2 linked regions of the Canis lupus familiaris genome follow. The protein of the gene in region 2 binds, or shares a complex with, the protein of the main gene of each other region. Links are inferred from orthologs where the notes say so. Each region holds a gene or a part of one and is shown on either strand. Other genes may lie near its edges. The genes, in order: CHP2 and SLC9A1.

Region 1 (4,583 bases), on a different chromosome or scaffold from region 2:
CTCCCAACACACACACACACACACACACACACACAGTCGATTGAGAAATTAATAACTGAGTCCTTTGAATTTAACTGTGCCTGAAGACACTTCCAGGCTTTTCCTATATTCTGAAGATACTTTCAAACTTTTTAATTACATGAGCCCATAAAAATCCCCTTTTCACTTAAGTCACTGTAAATTGGGTTTTCAGTTGCTTGCAACCAGAAGATTGCTGGCTGATTTATGAATCTGAGATCAAATAAGCTACACTTTATTTAGTACACACCCTTCCAGCTTTCTCTCCTTGGCCCTAAATAGAGTTTAGCATAGACACATGAATACAGTTTTGCGGGCCCTGCCTCTGTAGGGGCTGAAGATAAATTCCACGCTGAGCTGGTCTGTGTAAGCTAGCCAACGGCACAAAGAGGGTCACTTCAGGATCCGGATGCTCATTTTCTGCTCGATGTCCATCTTCTCTAATGACTGGCAGGGGCAGATGGGTGGTAGTCAAGAGCTCAATCCTCTAGGCTTCCCACCTCCTCTCCTATCCCCAAAGCCCCACCTTTCCTTAGCGATCCCCATCCCTCTGCCCAAATTCCTTTCCCATGTCCATCTGTCCTAGGGACTCCTGAAGTCAACTCCCCAGGCCTCAGGGCATTCTGACCTTGGTGAACTCCAGGAAGGACACAGCCCCGTCCCCATCTTCATCCGCTTCCTGTACCGTGCGGTCGGCGATGCTCTCCAACTGCTCTTCTGTCACCTGCACCCCAACCATCAGCCGGAGGACCTGGGAGGCATACAGGGGACAGCCATAAAGAGGAGACACTCGCCCCATCCCCCAAACCTTGCCCACATCATCCTAAATGTTATTACCCCTTTTGTAATCTATCTCTCAACCATTTTTTTTCACTTCCCACCATATCCCAATAATTTCCCCTACTGCTTCTCCATTCAAACCCCCACCTGTCTCTCTATCTCACGTTCACCTCAACAGTATGCCCAAACTCATTACCCAAACCTAAGTCTTACAACTCAACCTCCCTCCATTCTCCACCCCATCCCCCTCCTCATCCTTCCACTATTCCCAATTCCACCACCACCACCACCCCCACTTCATCAAATCTATCACAGAGTTTCTGAATCTCAATACTGTTGACATTTGGGGCCTTGTTGTGGGAGAATGGGGGCTATCGTGTGTATCGAAAGATGTTTAGCAGCGTTTTTGACTTCTACCTACTAGATGCCAGCAGTGCTGCCCACTCCACTCCCTCAGTTGTGGCAACCAAAAATGTCTCTAGATATTGCCAACTCATTCAGGAGGTAAAATCACCTCCAGTTAAGAACCACTGGTCTAGGGATCCCTGGGTTGCTCAGTGGTTTAGCGCCTGCCTGCGGCCCAGGGCATGATCCTGAGTCCCAGTATCAAATCCCATATCGGACTCCTTGCATGGAGCCTGCTTCTCCCTCTGCCTGTGTCTCTGCTTCTCTCCCTCTCTCTGTGTCTCTCATGAATAAATAAATAAAAATCTTAAAAAAAAAAAAAAAGAACCACCAGTCTATTTCCAACCTCATAACCAACTGTTCCCCATCCATTTCCCAACTAAACCCCACCCAATGCTGGATTCCCACTTAATACCCCAGTGACCTGGGCAGCCCCGGTGGCTTAGCAGTTTGGTGCCACCTTCAGCCCAGGGTGTGATCCTGGAGACCCTGGATCAAACCCCACATCAGGCTCCCTGCATGGAGCCTGCTTCTCCCTCTGCCTGTGTCTGTGTGTGTGTGTGTGTGTGTGTCTAATAAATAAATAAATAATCTTAAAAAAAAATGCCCCAGTGACCTGCACCTCCATTGCCCAGTCACCCACCCCATCCCCCCGCAACCCTTCCCTTCAACAACCCATTTGTCAGATATCACATCTCTTGTTCTTGCATCCTTCCAACCTGTAGCATCTCGTGCCTGGAGATCTTTCCATCTCTATCCAGGTCATAGAGCTGAAATGCAACTGGAAGAGAATAGAGAGGGAGGGGAGGAGGAGGGAAAGCTGAGTGTTCCCTCGTTCTTTTCCAGCAGGTCACCCTGCTGGAGGCTTGGGGGAGGTCATCTACAGGCTCGCTAAGAGGTGCGGTGCATCGCTTGGGGAGGGGTCCCCACGAACTCACAGCGAAGTTTGTTCATTCGGCTGTTGAGGGGTTCAGGTTCCTTGGGGTCTCGCATGCTCGAGTCGTCATCATCGACAGGTCGAAAGTGAGCCAGGACTCTGACAAAGCCTGGGAAATCCACTCGCAGATTCCTGGGGACAATGGAGTGGAGGTGACCTTGGCCCTCCGCCTGCCTCTCCCCTTAACTCTCCCCCAAGCCCTCCCCCACCACACCCCCAGCGGGACCTCACCCGTCGGGGAAGAAGCTGTCTATGATGCGATCTCCCAGGGGGTTCACGGCCAGCGCCCCGATCTGCTGCAGATCCATGCGGCTGTCAAGTCAAAGTTCAGAGGGACGGAGGGTTAAGGAGGGGACCGGGTCCAGAGGGGCAGGTGGCAGGTCCTGGGGCCGGGTCCCTCACCTCAGGTAGCCCTTCTTGTTCCTGTCCAGTGCCCGAAACCGGTGGTAGAGGCGGAGCAGACTGGCCTGCGAGACTGCGGGACCGGAGGCGGAGGGTGACACGGCCGCGGGCGCTCCCCACTACCCGCTTCCCCGGGGTCCCTCCCCGGGACCTCCCCACCCCCCGGGCGGGACCTCCCCCGCCCCCCAGCCCCCCGGGACCCGGGCCGCGCGGCCGGGCTGCGGGGGGCGTGTCGACGCGCTCCCGCGGGGCCCGAGGCCCGGAGGCCCCCCCGTGCCCCCGCCCCCGTCCGCGGCCCCGCGGGGAGCCCCTCCCGACGCCCCCCGCCCCGGCTCCGAGCCCCGCGGCCGCTCACAGCCGGTCTCCCGGCGGATGCTGTCCGCGTCGGGAATGCGCGCCGCGTGGGAGCCGCGGGAGCCCATGGCTGCGCCTGCTGAGCCGCCCGGCCCCGGCCCCGGCCCCGGCCCCGGCCCCGCCCCGCCCCGCCCCCGCCCCCCGCGCCCGGGCGCGGCCGCCCGCTGGCCCCGGGGCCGAAGGCCGCAGGCCTGGCGCGGAGCCAGGCTCGGGAACCCCTGCGTGCCTCGCCTCCCACCCGCGACCCGGGCGGACGGAGAACAATGCCCAGCGTGGCGGGGTCAGAGGGGCGGCGCGGACAACGGGGCGTTTCATGCGGAGCCGAGCCGAGCCGAGCCGGAGCCCGCCGCGAGGTCGCCCGCCCGCCCGCCCCCCCGCCCCCCGGCCGCGCCATCTCACCCTCGGGACTCCCAGCCGCGTCCCCGCTCGCGGCTCCCGGGCAGGACGGCCGGGCCCGCCGACCTTGTCACCCAGGGACACAATCCACGTCCCCCGCGCAGGGGCCCCGGGGGGCGGGGCGGGGAGCTGGATGGACCCACTTGTCCCCAGCCCCCGGGGGCCCAGCCTGGGGCCCCTTCCTCAGGCTGCAGGAGCAGAAGAAGAGGCATTGAAGGACCCCCCAGGAAGGGTGGGGCGGGGAGGGTCGTGAGCCGTACAGGGGAGCTGGGGTGACCCGAAGGGCCCCTGGATTTGGAAGGATGTGGATGCAACCCCCAGCTACGCAGTTAACCCTGGACAAGTCTGTAGGACTTGCCTTCATCTCTTTTGTTCCTTCCACATAGCCTGATTGTTGATGGCCAATTGAGCCGGTGCTAAAATGCAGGAGATTAACGAGAAATCCAGTTGCCAGCTTCCGAGAAATCAAAAGTTCAGACGCCACCAGTTCCTGCCTGGCACACGGAGCTACACCCGGGGAACACGTGCCGTGTGTAAATGCGGCATCGCGGCCTGTCCCCTGGCCACAGTCTCCACCCAGCTCAGTTCCCTTCCTTCTGTGCCCCGTGGGACCTCCGGTAGAAGCTCAAGTTGGAATGCCTTGAGCCTCAGGCCAGCCCTCAAGCACCACAGGAACCCCCAGTCTGAGAGGGGGTTACAAACATCACTGTGACCAAGCTTAATATGGTGATAGTGGCAACAACAGGGCCTCTCATTTCCCGCTCACCATGCACCAACCACTTCTGTGAAACACAATGTGCATGATTAACTCACACTCCTCAAACCACCTGCTAGACTGCCTGCTTTTTTAAGTGGTGGAGGCTGCCAGGGGAGCCTGTTGTGAACTATTGAAAAGCACGTATCCAGGCAGCCCGGGTGGCTCAGCGGCTTAACACCACCTTCAGTCCAGGGCCTGATCCTGGAGTCCCGGGATCGAGTCCCACATCAGGCTCCCTGCATGGAGCCTGCTTCTCCCTCTGCATGTGTCTCTGCCTCTGTCTCTCTCTGTGTTTCTCATGAATAAATAAATAAAATACAAATAAAAAAAAAAAAGCACGTATCCCCAGTGGGGGACATATCTCCCCAAGAGGGGCCACAACTCATATTCTTTTTGTGTATAAAACACAGATACACATATAGTGCATAAATAGCATATAGCATATCTGGGGTATTAAAATTTCATAGTATTAAAATATCATGATTAGGAAAAATAGTGTAAAAACACTCCTTAAGGGCAGGCTGTAATGAAAAA
Region 2 (3,800 bases):
CAGAGGCTACTCTGCTGCTCAGCATTTAGGTACCACTCAAAAAAATGTTCCTGAGCAAACGAACATGAATGCATGTAAGCCTTCCTTGCATTGTTATTTGGGGAAGCTCCCTTCTTCCTTGGCCTTAGTGTTTTGTTTTGTTTTGTTTTTACCAGAAAATAAGAGGTTAAGCACACGGATAGACTCAGATGCCTAAGGATGCAGCAAATAGGCACTGGCCTCTTTGCTGCCCTGAGTGGGGAGGAGGTGGAGGAGGAGGCAGCTTCTGGAACCTGCCCCGGAGCTCAGTCTTCAAAACAAGTAGAGGAGTCGAAAGAAACTGCAGTGGCTCTCTCTGCAAAGGGACTTGATGGTAGGGTATAGGAAGAAGAAGAACCCAGACTCCCAGGGAAAGGCAGGAGCCAGCTCCAGTCCCAGACACACCTTCTGCTCTAGCTGCCGGGCCTTCTGTCTGCGGAGCAGCATCTGGTTCCAGGCCTCCTCGTAGGGATCTGCCACCAGTGTGTGTCTGTTGTAGGATCGCAGCTGTGGGAGGAACAGCTGTCAGCCCCCGGAAGCTGGGCCTGACGGGGCCAGGGAGGCTCTGCACCTGTGTGGGGCAGGGCTGGAGCAGAGGGGCTCCTCTGCTGTAGGGCACCCGGCAGGGAGCTGCCCCTCACCCGCTGCCTCGTCTTCTGTAAGTTGTTCCTCAGGATTTTGCGGATCTCCTCCTCCTTGTCCTTGGACAGTGCCGGCAGGATGCGCTCAGCAGGCAGAGACTTGGGGTGGATGTTCCTGCAAAACAGGCCACAGGTTAGGTCCCCCAGAAAACTCCTGTGACCCTGGAGCCTGCTGTCCTAGGCCAGGAAGTCATCCCAGGGATGGCATGCGTGGGTGGTCATCTGTGGCCCTGCAGCTCTCTCAGCCACCTTGCTGGGACAACAGAGGGGCCTGCCACTGCCCCGCCCCCCGGCCCACTGGTGGCCTGCCAGGTTGGTGTGGACTGGGTCGGTGTGGGGGTACGGAAGCTGCCAGCGTTGGCCATCAGCACTCACTGCATGGAGACAGTGGAGACAGCAGAAGGGATCTTGCCCATGCCACCGCTCTCCACCAGCTCAATTGCCTGCTTCATCTCCATCTTGTGGTAGAAGGCGATGAGCTGGGGTTCCTTGGAGCGCTCCCCTGCTATCAGACACTTCTTCACATATTTCTTGTTAAACCGGTTGAGCCTGGTGGGAGGAGGGAGAAGATGCGTGTAGGCAGCTCCTCAGGGTGGGGAGACACCCAGGCCCAGGGAGACCCTCACCTGCCCCTCCCCACCCACCAGCCCACCAGGCCTGCCACCTACTTGTCCTTCCAGTGGTGGTGGCCGTAATGGCCACAGATGTCCTCGATGCCTGTCAGAAGGTGGTCCAGGAACTGAAATGGGCCCAGGGCCAGGTCAAGCCTCACTACTGGGAAGGTTCCTTCCCTACCAAGATTTCTGACAGGCCCCCCTCACCCCCCACCTTCCACCCTGGTGCAGCTCTGCTCAGCCCAGCCTTGTAGTTCCAGGAGCAGCCAGCAGGTGGCACCAACATCTCACTCATTCTGAACCTGTAGCACCTCAAACCCCGACAGGGAGCCTGGCTGAGCCCCCTTCCCTGAATCCACTTGTGCCCAATGCCTGGGTTAGGTTCCTACTAGAGGTAGAAATGGCATGACACCCCCTCCTAGAGTGGGCTCCTGGTTGCCCACACTACATGTGCCTATGGCACGATCTGGTGACCTCAAGGGGCTGAAGGATCACCCAGCACTGGGATAAGGGTGGAGGGGCCAAGTGAAGCAACGGACATGAGGCCTAGCTGCTGCCCAGCTCCCTGAGCCTTCTCCTGCAACCAGCAGCCAAGGCCCAGTGTCCAGTACCTGTGTGTGGATCTCCTCGTTGATAGAGCGCTTCGTTTCTTGCTTTTTCTTCACAGCCAACAGGTCTACCAGGGGCCGAATGGTCATGCCCTGGAGGACAGGTGGGCGTCAGGCACTCCAGGTCAGTGACCCTGGCAGGGAGGCCACAGTGCCTCTCTCCCCCACCACCACCCAGAGCCCCTGAAGCTGGGATGCTTTCTGCTCTGAGGTCCCCACTCCCCCAACCTTCATGTCAGCCCTTGTACAAAGGCAGGTCCTTAAGGCCCACTTCTTCCTGAAGACATAGCCCACCCAGCTGAATGACTCACACATCAGCCATCCAGTCCGGGTGAGGGGGTCAGAAGGCCTGGGTTCAAATGTGGACTCAACCTCAAATGCGCTTTGTAACCCAGAGAAGTTAGATCTGGCTGATAGGGAAAACCACTTCTGTTCTACCTCCCTCACAGGACTGCAATTGACCAGCTGGTAACGGCCGCAGCAAGCTAATTTAATTGCACGAATACCACGTGCCAGAATTAGTTGTGATTTACTAGGTACTAGCTCTTGAATACCCACACTGACCCTGAGAGGTAGGTTCTTCCATTGTCCCCATCTTACAAGTGAGAGGTTAAGTAATTTCCTGAGGTCTTACAGAAGTAGTGGTAAAGCTGGATTCAAACCCAGGCAGGGGCACCCCTCCCTCAATGCTGACTTCATCGAAAATGGGCCTGGCTAGCCATTAGCGTACACAACTGCAAAGTCAAGGTGATAAAATGTTTTTGACGATGGAAACAGGGCAAGAGGGCAAAAGAGCCCTATCCTTGTAAGGGACAGAAGGTGAGTCTGGCCCCAGGAAGATGTCTCCACATGGTTTTCTCCTGAGAAGGCAATGCTGTTTCCCATGAAAGCTTTGCCAAGATTTATGTCTAGGAAAGACAGAAGGGACAGAGAAATGGAGGCCCGGACAGACTGTTTCTCACTTGCCCAAAGTCAGAGGTCAGGTACGGTGGAGCAATTTACACCATCCAGGCTGGGTTTTTCTGGGAATTCTGAAGGGGCTGGGGGAACTCTCAGCTAAGCCAGGGTCATTAAATGCACAGAAATCACTGGCCAGCAGGCTGGAGGGACTCTGGGATCATCTGCCCTCACTTCATAGATGGGGAACCAAGACCCAGAAACAGGAGGGTCTTTCCCAGGGTCACAGGAGAGCAGCAGAGCTTGGGCTGACTCCAGACCTCCTGTTGCCCAGTTCAGCAATCTTTATAGCTCCCCGTGTTGTGCTATTATTCCCATTTTATAGGCACAGAAATGGAGATCCTAAGACATTAGGTCATTTCCCTAAAGCCCTATAATGAGCACCACAAGCCTGCTGACTGCACCTTCTCTCAACACTGTCTGGATTGAATGTTAGGCAGCATTCTGACTGGTCGCTCATTATCACAATTCCCCCTTCACAATTAAGGAAACTGAGGCCCAGAAAGGAGGAGCGGCTTGCCCAAGATTGTGTAGCAAGTTATCGGTGGACCAGAGCCCATGGCTCTGTCTCAGGTTGTGCGCCTCCTCTTTCCACCTGCAGAGTCAGGGTCCCCAGGCAGGGCCGCTCCGCCCTGGCCAGCACCTGCACAAAGACGGTGAAGAAGATGACAGTGATGATGGCAGTGAGGAACAGGTCACACATGGGGAAGTGCTTCTTGTCCAGGAGGTAGCCCAGGGAGAAGGCTATGGCCCCTCGAAGACCCCCGTAAGCGATGATGAACTGGTCCTTGGGGGTCAGCTTCACAATTCGGAACTTGTTGATGAACCAGGTCAGGCCCAGCACACCTGCCAGGGAAGGGCAAGAAGAGTGTCATGCTGTCCCCAGCCCCTCCTGGCTTCTGCACCTGCTCTGCCTGGAGGAAGCCTTGGCTAGTATACCCACCCAGTGCACTCATTTCCTG

What was found.
Region 1: the proteins of SLC9A1 (region 2) and CHP2 are in contact, whole or in part, in a crystal structure (PDB 2BEC), measured with the Homo sapiens proteins. The link is inferred for Canis lupus familiaris from reciprocal best matches to the Homo sapiens genes SLC9A1 and CHP2. Residues at the interface, in NP_003038.2 of Homo sapiens: Ser517, Ile518, Asn519, Glu520, Ile522, His523, Thr524, Gln525, Phe526, Leu527, Asp528, His529, Leu530, Leu531, Thr532, Gly533, Ile534, Glu535, Asp536, Ile537, Cys538, Gly539, His540; in NP_071380.1 of Homo sapiens: Arg30, Arg34, Leu38, Leu51, Ile54, Ala56, Leu57, Asn60, Pro61, Leu62, Ile66, Phe70, Phe83, Leu87, Phe90, Tyr118, Ala119, Leu122, Tyr123, Met136, Val139, Leu140, Met143, Ile156, Arg159, Thr160, Glu163, Ala164, Phe177, Ser180.

Annotation. Positions count from the first base shown.
Region 1 is NC_049227.1:22,370,925-22,375,507, forward strand, and holds the start of CHP2 (calcineurin B homologous protein 2), read right to left. Parts: upstream 3,005-4,583; 5' UTR 2,965-3,004; coding exon 2,898-2,964; intron 2,616-2,897; coding exon 2,543-2,615; intron 2,453-2,542; coding exon 2,372-2,452; intron 2,273-2,371; coding exon 2,142-2,272; intron 1,985-2,141; coding exon 1,923-1,984; intron 770-1,922; coding exon 647-769; intron 466-646; coding exon 412-465; 3' UTR 1-411. UniProt on the Homo sapiens protein: Functions as an integral cofactor in cell pH regulation by controlling plasma membrane-type Na(+)/H(+) exchange activity.
Region 2 is NC_049223.1:72,491,429-72,495,228, reverse strand, and holds part of SLC9A1 (sodium/hydrogen exchanger 1), read right to left. Parts: intron 3,685-3,800; coding exon 3,482-3,684; intron 1,975-3,481; coding exon 1,885-1,974; intron 1,399-1,884; coding exon 1,328-1,398; intron 1,209-1,327; coding exon 1,035-1,208; intron 775-1,034; coding exon 660-774; intron 526-659; coding exon 424-525; intron 1-423. UniProt on the Homo sapiens protein: Electroneutral Na(+) /H(+) antiporter that extrudes Na(+) in exchange for external protons driven by the inward sodium ion chemical gradient, protecting cells from acidification that occurs from metabolism.